2 linked regions of the Macaca mulatta genome follow. The protein of the gene in region 1 interacts with the protein of each later gene in a pairwise test. Links are inferred from orthologs where the notes say so. Each region holds a gene or a part of one and is shown in the gene's direction. Other genes may lie near its edges. The genes, in order: FAM9B and POLL.

Region 1 (4,666 bases):
CTGGACAGACAGAGTTCAAACTCCCATATCACTCTTCATTTTCATTGGTTGTTTTACTTTTATTTTCTACGGTTTTGGGTTTAGGCATGTTGATGCTGTGTTAAGCACAAAATGATTTCTGTCAGATTGTCAGAGTAGATCATGCCCTTCTCTTGTTCTGTATACTCTGCCTTTAGTTTATTCATTTATTTTTTGCATTATTTTACATTTGCGAGCTATCAATTCCCAGATCCATATTTTCCTTTTCTTCATATTTGTCTGACATGTATTTTTTGTATCATTTTGTTTTAGCTCCATTCTTACATACAGCATATACTTAGATTTTTATTTTGATCCAAGTTGGAAGTCATTTCCTTTAGATTCTGAGTTTATCTCATTCATATTTCTTGCTCAACAGATTCACTTGGCCTTAATTTTGTTCCTTTATGTTATGGTCTCTGGAGTATTTTCTTTATTTTTCAATTTTTACTACAGGATTTGTGTTCTTTGTGTGTGCTCTTTTTGGTTATATAGACATTTAAGGCTGTGGATTAGTTTTCCTGATGACTGCCTTTATAATTTCTTTTCTTTTCTTTTTTTTTGAGGTGGAGTCTCGCTCTGTCGCCAGGGTTTCACCGTGTTAGTCAGGATGGTCTCGATCTCCTGACCTTGTGATCTGCCCGTCTCAGCCTCCCAAAGTGCTGGGATATAATTTCAATAATATAATGAAACTCTATATCTTGATTTACAAACTTTAGGCAATATTTATTTACTCCTAACTCCAAAACAACTCTCCCCCTATTATAGGCGACTGGAGGTGGGAAAAAGCTGAGTTAACGATAAGTATTAAGGCATTAATTTGTGGGTGAAGGTTGTGGCATATGTCTGCATAAGTCTGGAGCATGAGGGTTTGTGGGCAAGTCTGGGGCATGAGGATGAGAAAGAAAAGTAGTGAGGAAACAAAAATGGTTATGGGCAGGGCACGGTGGCTCATGCCTGTAATCCTAGCACTTTGGGAGGCCAAGGCGTGCAGATCAACTGAGGTCAGGAGTCCGACACCAGCCTGGACAACATGGTGAAACCTCGTCTCTACTAAAAAAAAAAAAAAAAAAAATTAGCAGGGCTTGGTGTTGGGCTCCTGTAATTCCAGCTCCTTGGGAGGCTGAGGCAGGAGAATCACTTGAACCCGGGAAGCCGAGGTTGCAGTGAGCTGAGATCACCCTGCTGCACTCCAGCCTAGGCGATAGAGTGAGACACAGTCTCAAAAACAAACAAAAACGATAAAAGCACAATCCATTGATTGAAAAGGATGCAGCTGGGCATGTTGGAAGCACACAGGGCATGGGAGGGAGCCTGGGCCCAACCCATAGGATGATGGCCATTCTAGCCAAAGGGGCAGGGGTGGCTGGAAAGAGCCCCAGGGCGAGGTTCTAGGCCCTGTCCACTTGGCCTCCATACCAAGTCCTGTGTCCCTCCCCAGGAGCAGAAGCTGAAAGAATGTGGGAACAGAGGCCCCAAAGGGCCAACCCCACCTCAGTCCACAGCAACCACTTGCTGTCACTTAGGGGAAGGGGGAGGGCGTGCCAGCAGGGGGCGTGGCCCCACACGGCCTGTCACACGCATGTGCACTGAGTCGACCAATCTGCGAGGAGCGTAGGAAGTGCTGTCGGCAGCTCTCACGAGAACTGAGTACTTGTTTTCTTTTTTGTTTTTTGTTTTTTGTTTTTTGTTTTTTGAGACAGTCTGGCTCTTGCCGCCCAGGCTGCAGTGCAGCCGCGCGATCTGGGCTCACTGCAACTTCCGCCTCCCGGGGTCAAGCAATCATCCTGCCTCAGCCTCCTGAGAGGACCCGTTTTCTAAGAGATCCTAGTGGTGCTGTTGTCTGCAGGTTCTTTGAGGGCGCCACATCAGGGGTCCCTCAGGTGAAGCGCTCGCGGTGGGGAGGCGGAAACGCAGGCACGAGGCCCTCTGGGAACCAGGGTGTGAAGCGCTGGGCCGCCCGCTGACCTGTGAGGAAATGCCCCTGGCGTGGTCGCCTGGGGCCTGGGTCAGGGCGAGGCCCTGAGGGTGGGCTGGGGTGGGCCAGGGCAGGGAGGGAGCTGGAGCCGCCTGGGTGATCCCTAGGGCCCAGGAGGGCTTGTGCATGTGTTGGGGGGAGGTGCGGAAGGTGGGGGGAAGTGGGGGTGGGGCGAGGGTGTTGTTGGGGACAGTCTGAGTGGGGCCCTCCTGCCCGGCCTCCCGTCAGGACAGGACACTTGGGGTCATCAGGGGTCCCCTGTGCATCCAGGCGGGTGAGTGACAGTGCAGCCCCTGACATTCCTCTGGAGGTGGCTGGGGAGATCCTGTGTCACCCGGTGGCCCTCCCAGCCACACGGGGTCGCTGGGGGACCCAGAGGTAGGGCTGAGTTCTGTCCCAAAGGTGCGGCGAGGATCCCGCAGACGCCGTGGAGTTCAGGTGTGAGGGGCAGCTGTGAGCTCTGCAGCCAGCCCCGGGGACGGGCTGGACGGGCTGGACGGGCCAGGACAGGAGGGGACACTGGCATCTTTTCGGTCCCCTCCTGCTCCCACAGGAGACCCAGGGCGTGCCAGCCCCACCCTTCTTGAACCTGTGATCCCAATGGCTTTCCTTTCCGATGCCAGGGTTCCTTTGCTTCCTTAGTGTGCCTTTGCCCTCATCAGGTTCAGGGATCACCTGTAGCTTCCCAGGACAGCCAGCCACGGATCCTGTGGGCAGGAGGGCTGCCAAGGCCCAGTTGGAGGCTCAATTTATGGCGGCCCAGGGGAAGGAGCGTGCAGGTAAATACAGCCCAAGGTGACCCGGAAGAAAGTGCACGCCCAAGAGGACGGTCTGTCTGCTTTCTGCGCTGGGGGCACAGGGGTAGCCCAAGGACCCGGGCCCCTTCGTGGCTTTGGAGTCCATCGTGCACGTGCTAAGATGCCCCAGGTTTTCAAAGCAGGCTCAAGGGCCTTAGGCTTCCCGTGAAAGGCTCCCCTCATAGCGGGGTTACAGATGCTCCCAGAGCAGCTCTTCTCCATGAGTGCAGTCATGACATCCAAGGGGTCTGACGTGTAGTATGTTGTTTACTGGGACTTGAACCCGAAGGGCTTCCAAAAGTGCCTTGATAAAATGGTCAGAAGCCGGTGATTCCATGTACAGCTCTGCTTTAAAGCCTTAATTGGCAGATAGCCAAAAAAAAAAAAAAAAAAAAAGTCTACAACAAGTACATTTCTCCACAAAAAAAGTCCACAACAGTGTCTTCCTCTAAAAAAGGTTTGTCTTTTAAATTTTAATGCAGGAAAGGATCCAGTCAGTGACGAATGTGAGGAAAGAAACCCTTTTACAGAAACAAGGGAGGAAGATGTAACTGATGAGCATGGGGAAAGAGAACCTTTTGCTGAAAAAGACGAGCACACGGGGTAAAGTGTTTAAGTCACTTTTGCCTGTGGGATAGGGTCTTTTAGGAAAAGTCACCTTTGGACCATGTCATCACTGTTCTATTCTGTGCAGAACATTTCACATAAGACATTTCTTTTCCCAACAAACATGGCATTTTGTGTAGTATTATGCTAAAATTTTGATGTAACTTTTTTTACAGGGCTAATACCAAGAAGCCAGAAGATACTGCAGGTATATTTTAGGAGTTATCTGTCGTTTATGAAAATTGTTTTCAATCATGCAACTGTTGCAGTAAGTTATATGAATCAGTGGATGACAAGACTGTCTTAAATGGCTTATCATATGTAGCATTTAACATACGTATTTAATGTAATCTGTTTGATAAATTTTTCTTACCTCTTTGATTGTTGATGTGGAATGTGAGAATGCTTCTAATAATGGTGAAGCGAGATGGATGGCTTTTCTTTCATACACGTGGAAATTTAATTGTTTGGAGAATATTAGAGGACATTGGAGGAGAAACAGCTCTATTCGTTCCTTTTAGTGTACGCAGATTAAGTCATATATCAGGTTTTTTTTAAGCTTTCACTTTAAGTTTGGGGGTACATGTGCAGGTGTGTTATATAGATAAATTGCATGTCACAGGGTTTTGGTATACAGATTATTTTGTCACCCAGGTTATAAGCATAGTACCTGATGGGTGGTTTTTGATCCTCACCCTCCTCCTACCCTCCACTCTCAAGTAGGCCCAGTTGTCTGTTGGTCCCTTCTTCCTGTCCATATGTACTCAGAGTTTTTAATATGAGTTTTTCATGTTCTTAATTTAGCTATTCTATTGTCACAGCTTTCTGATTTTGTTTTATTTGAAGTACAAGAGAAAATTGAATTCTCTAAAATCATTTTCCATTATTATTCCAGTAATAAACTGTGTAGTACAAAAGGACAACTTTTCTATCTAGTGAGAAACATGTAATTGGATCCAAAAACTCATAAACTTTATATTGCTGTGTGAAATATTAGTTGCACTGTTATAGGGACCATATTTTCAAAAAAGTTTGAGAAAATTTCTGTAAAGATGATGGAGACAATACTCTTACTTTTGAAAAGCTCAATTCAGTTTTCAGCTTTTCGATAGCGATGATTCATACAAGCAGTATATTTGGAAAGCTTTGCTCTGCTTGGTGACAAAAAGTGCTGGTTTTGTGAGCTGCCTAATACATTGGGCGTTATAGATGGAGACTGTATGTAAAAAATATTTGCATTATGGTACAAATCTTTTATGATTGCTGA
Region 2 (4,231 bases), on another chromosome or scaffold:
AGTAAAGGTGCCGACTGGAGAGCCCGTGGTGAATTAATGGCACAGTCGGAACTAGAGCCCAGGCCTCTCTCCTCTCTAAAGTCCAAAACATTCTTGGATTTCAGTTTCCTCTTCTGTAAAACGGGGTGGAAAATTAGCCTCTCAGGACAGTGGTGAGGAGCAAATGAGATAACGAATGTAAAAGAAATTACTATATTAGCAACAGAACTCAGAGCGGGGCGAGATGGTGTAGAGAAATTTAAGGGGTGTCCGGAGACATGTGTTCTGGTCATGTCATCTCTGTGAGCCTTAGTCTCCTCATCCGCAAATGCAGGACCTGGCCCGGCTGACCACCGAGACCCTTCCAGCTCTGCCGACCCAGGCCCTGAGGCCCTTCCCGGAGGGCCGGACCCTGGGGGAAAAAAACGAAGGAGCTCGCGGGGACCCTCGAGTTACCGTCCTGCAGCAGTGCAGTCTTCTGGGCTGTCCGCAGACTCTCCAACCAGCCCGTCACCGCCATCTTTCCTGTGCTAAGCAGCCCGCCCGGCCGCTGCCATGGCAACCGTTCCACTGAAGGTCACTTCCGGCTGACTCGGAAGCTATTCTGGGCATTTGCCCTCCTTCCCCCCTTCGTCCGTTCTCATTGGCTCTCCTGGTAAGTGGCCTACTCCTGCCCACCCTCGGGTGACCAACTTGGCCTGTTGTCGACCGCACCCGGGGACTGACTCTGGCGGTTGGAGAGAGACTCTTGGCGCCGGGGTTGGGCACTCCAACTCTCTACTAGCCCCGAGCTGGGATTCCCTGGCCTGCGCCAGCTGCGTACAGGGCGAGTACACCACACCTGCCTGGGTCTTCACCCCCAGCTGCGAGACTCCTCCATTCCCGGAGGGCTCCCCACACCTGCTGCGGCCGTGCCCCATCTCCCCGCAGCTGCGGCGCTGAGCATCCCCATGTCGAGAGGCTGAGACCAGGGCAGGTGCAGGGCGTTCCCACTCACCCGCGAAAGTCCGCCTCCTCAGGTTTTCCTCTGCAAGTCTGTGTTGGAGGTAGAAAAAGAGTATGTGGAGTTTATGTGCAGGTCCTCCCCAGTCTCCGCTCCATCCCCTAAAGCTCCATTTCCTAGCCCAGCATCCCATTTTGGTAAAGCCCTTCGAAGTGGGCCGCAGCAGGAGGGCTGTGCTGAATCTTTAGAGCAACCCCTTTGAGGAATGGGTATAGTTTCCTACTCCTTAAAAGTACCCCCGATGGCTCCAGCCTTCCCCTCATTTCCCCTAATACTCCAACTTTGAAAGACTGGGGAGTGTGAAGCTAGGCTAAAAAGCTAGTTTAACAGGGTTTGAAGAGATCCCCCCCAACCTCCCGCTTCCCCAAACTGGGCTGCTACCCCCTACCTCCATAGGCAAAGGGGTTGGAGATCCTTAATTCTGTATTTCCACCTGACAGCAGCCCTGACCAACCCTCCAACAGGCTGGGATGCAGCCGTACTTCAATGGATCCCAGGGGTATCTTGAAGGCGTTTCCCAAACGGAAGAAAATTCATGCTGATGCATCATCAAAAGTACTTGCAAAGATTCCCAGGAAGGAAGAGGGAGAAGAAGCAGAAGGTGAGATGACCCACTCTCAGAACCCTCATGCGCTTGAACCCTCAGCCTTCATGTGCTTCAGCCCTATGTTGTTCATGTCCAGAATCAGATATTGGAGCTGACTCTGCCTGTCCATGGACTGCAGGTCTGTTTGTATCTGCCTTGTACTAAGCTTGGTCCTGGGTCTTGGACAGGCCATTTGCTGTGTTATCTTCTTTTCTACCTGAACACCCCTATCAATTGGAAAAGACTCCCTGGACCCTCAGGGAATGACCAGTATAATTTTTGCCCTGGGGGACTGGGACAGAAACCCCCCTCCATTACCCAGGATTGTTGTTAGTTGTTTTGCAGCCAAATTGATAAATAAATAGCAGAGGCTTTGGAGGCAGGGTTGTCGGGTCTGTCAGAGTGTAAGGGCAAGAAATGTGCATTGTTGAAAGAATAAATGATAAAGGATTCAAAGTATGGAGAGAGGCTGGGCGCGGTGGCTCATGCCTGTAATCCCAGCACTTTGGGAGGCCAAGGCAGGCAGATCACCTGTGCTCAGGAGTTCGAGACCAGCCTGGGCAATGTGGCGAAACCCCGTCTCTACCAAAAATACAAAAAATTAGCCAGGCATGGTGGCACATGCCTGTAATCCCAGCTACTTGGGAGGCTGAGGCATGAGAATCGCTTGAGCCCGGGAGATGGAGGTTGCAGTGAGCCAAGATGACGCCACTGTACTCCAGCCTGGGCAACAGAGTGAGACTGTCTCCAAACAAACAAACGAAAAAAACAAAACAAAAACAAAGTAAGAAGGGAGGAGGCATTCATTCAGCAGATATTTACAGGTTACTTACAATGTGCCAGACACTTCTAGGTTGCACCAAGGAACAGGACGTATAAAAATCCTTGTCCCTTACTTTCAAGTACTGGCCTGTGAGAAAATTTGCTGTATATAGAAGGAAACCTGCCTGGATGGAAGACAAATGCTTATTTTCAGGGTAGGGGACTGTGAACATGTCATTCAGATCATGTTAGAAGTTGTATTCAGATCATGTTAGAAGTTGTGGCCAGGGGGTGGCAGATAAAATTAAAAAGTTATGACAGTAGTCATCTGGATGTTCCTTCCCCAGAGTGGCTGAGCTCCCTTCGGGCCCATGTTGTGCGCACTGGCATTGGACGAGCCCGGGCAGAACTCTTTGAGAAGCAGATTGTTCAGCATGGTGGCCAGTTATGCCCTGTCCAGGGCCCAGGTGTCACTCACATTGTGGTGGATGAAGGCATGGACTATGAGCGAGCCCTCCGCCTTCTCAGACTACCCCGGCTGCCCCCGGGTGCTCAGCTGGTGAAGTCAGCCTGGCTGAGCTTGTGCCTTCAGGAGAGGAGGCTGGTGGATGTAGCTGGATTCAGCATCTTCATCCCCAGTAGGTGGGCTGATCCCAGTCTTTTTTTCCAATGTTTTCTAGTAGCATCTTGAGCTCTCTTCTTGAATTATTAAAAATAACTGTCATTAATTTAAAAATTAGCCAGGCATGGTGGTATATGCCTGTAGTCCCAGCTATAAGAGGGTTAGGTGGGAGGATTGATTGAGCCAGGGAGGCTGAGGCTGCAGTGAGCCTTGATCATACCACTGTACTCCAGCCTGGGTGATAGAGCAAGACCCTATCTCAAGAGAAACTCCAAAAACCTCAAAAAACTCATTTTCTTAATTGGACACACTGGGAAACCAAGTATTTCAGAATACATTAGGACTGGGGACAGAAACAGGGTGAGACCTTTGGTGTCTTAACCTCCCATCACCATCCCCACAGGTACTTGGACCAGTCACAGCCCAGCAAGGCAGAGCAGGATGCTTCTCTTCCTCCTGGCACCCATGAGGCCCTGCTTCAGACAGCGCTTCCTCCTCCTCCTTCTCCCACCAGGCCTGTGTCTCCTCCCCAAAAGACAAAAGAGGCACCAAACACCCAAGCCCAGGTCAGGAGCCTTCCATCCCTCAGAGCTCCCTTCCCCTAGGAAGCAGATCACAGAAATGGGGAGGGCCTGATGACTGTTCAGAAAGTCCCAGTCCCCGGAGAGAGGAGGACCCCATTGTGAAGCCATATATCTCTTCCCAACACTCATCACTCCTGCATTCATCTAGGCCGTATCTAACACATACCACTGGGGATCCTAGGGGTAGGCACTGCGGTGAGCCAAAGGGAATGTGGCCCCACACCCGAGGTGATCCAAGTCTGATGCAGAAGGCCCCACCTCATTCTTAGGTCTGACTAGAAGACCCTCCCCCTGCACAAAGAAGATGACCCCCACCTTTAAGGATCCCTTCTCCTGGAGGACAAGAATTTATTGTTTTCTTTTCTTCTCTACCCCAAGCCCATCTCTGATGATGAAGCCAGCGATGGGGAAGAAACCCAGGTTAGCGCAGCTGATCTGGAAGCCCTCATCAGTGGCCACTACCCCGCCTCCCTTGAGGGAGATTGTGATCCTAGCCCAGCCCCTGTGGTCCTGGATAAGTGGGTCTGTGCACAGCCCTCAAGCCAGAAGGCGACCAACCACAACCTCCATATCACAGAGAAGCTGGAAGTTCTGGCCAAAGCCTACAGTGTTCAGGGAGACAAGTGGAGGGCCCTGGGCTATGCCAAGGCCATCAATGCTCTCAAGAGCTTCCATAAGCCTGTCACCTCGTACCA

The links.
Region 2: the proteins of FAM9B (region 1) and POLL interact in binary tests that used the Homo sapiens proteins (3 or more experiments, as listed by UniProt). The two-hybrid records come from large-scale screens. The link is inferred for Macaca mulatta from reciprocal best matches to the Homo sapiens genes FAM9B and POLL.

The regions. Positions count from the first base shown.
Region 1 is NC_133426.1:8,568,537-8,573,202, reverse strand, and holds the start of FAM9B (protein FAM9B), read left to right. Parts: upstream 1-1,634; 5' UTR 1,635-1,901; intron 1,902-2,658; 5' UTR 2,659-2,747; coding exon 2,748-2,775; intron 2,776-3,275; coding exon 3,276-3,396; intron 3,397-3,575; coding exon 3,576-3,607; intron 3,608-4,666. UniProt on the Homo sapiens protein: May play a role in meiosis.
Region 2 is NC_133414.1:113,660,634-113,664,864, reverse strand, and holds the start of POLL (DNA polymerase lambda), read left to right. Parts: upstream 1-1,431; 5' UTR 1,432-1,468; coding exon 1,469-1,583; intron 1,584-1,628; exon of another isoform or gene 1,629-1,707; intron 1,708-2,677; coding exon 2,678-2,972; intron 2,973-3,355; coding exon 3,356-3,518; intron 3,519-3,914; coding exon 3,915-4,231. Other genes in the region: protein DPCD, read right to left, coding at 436-499.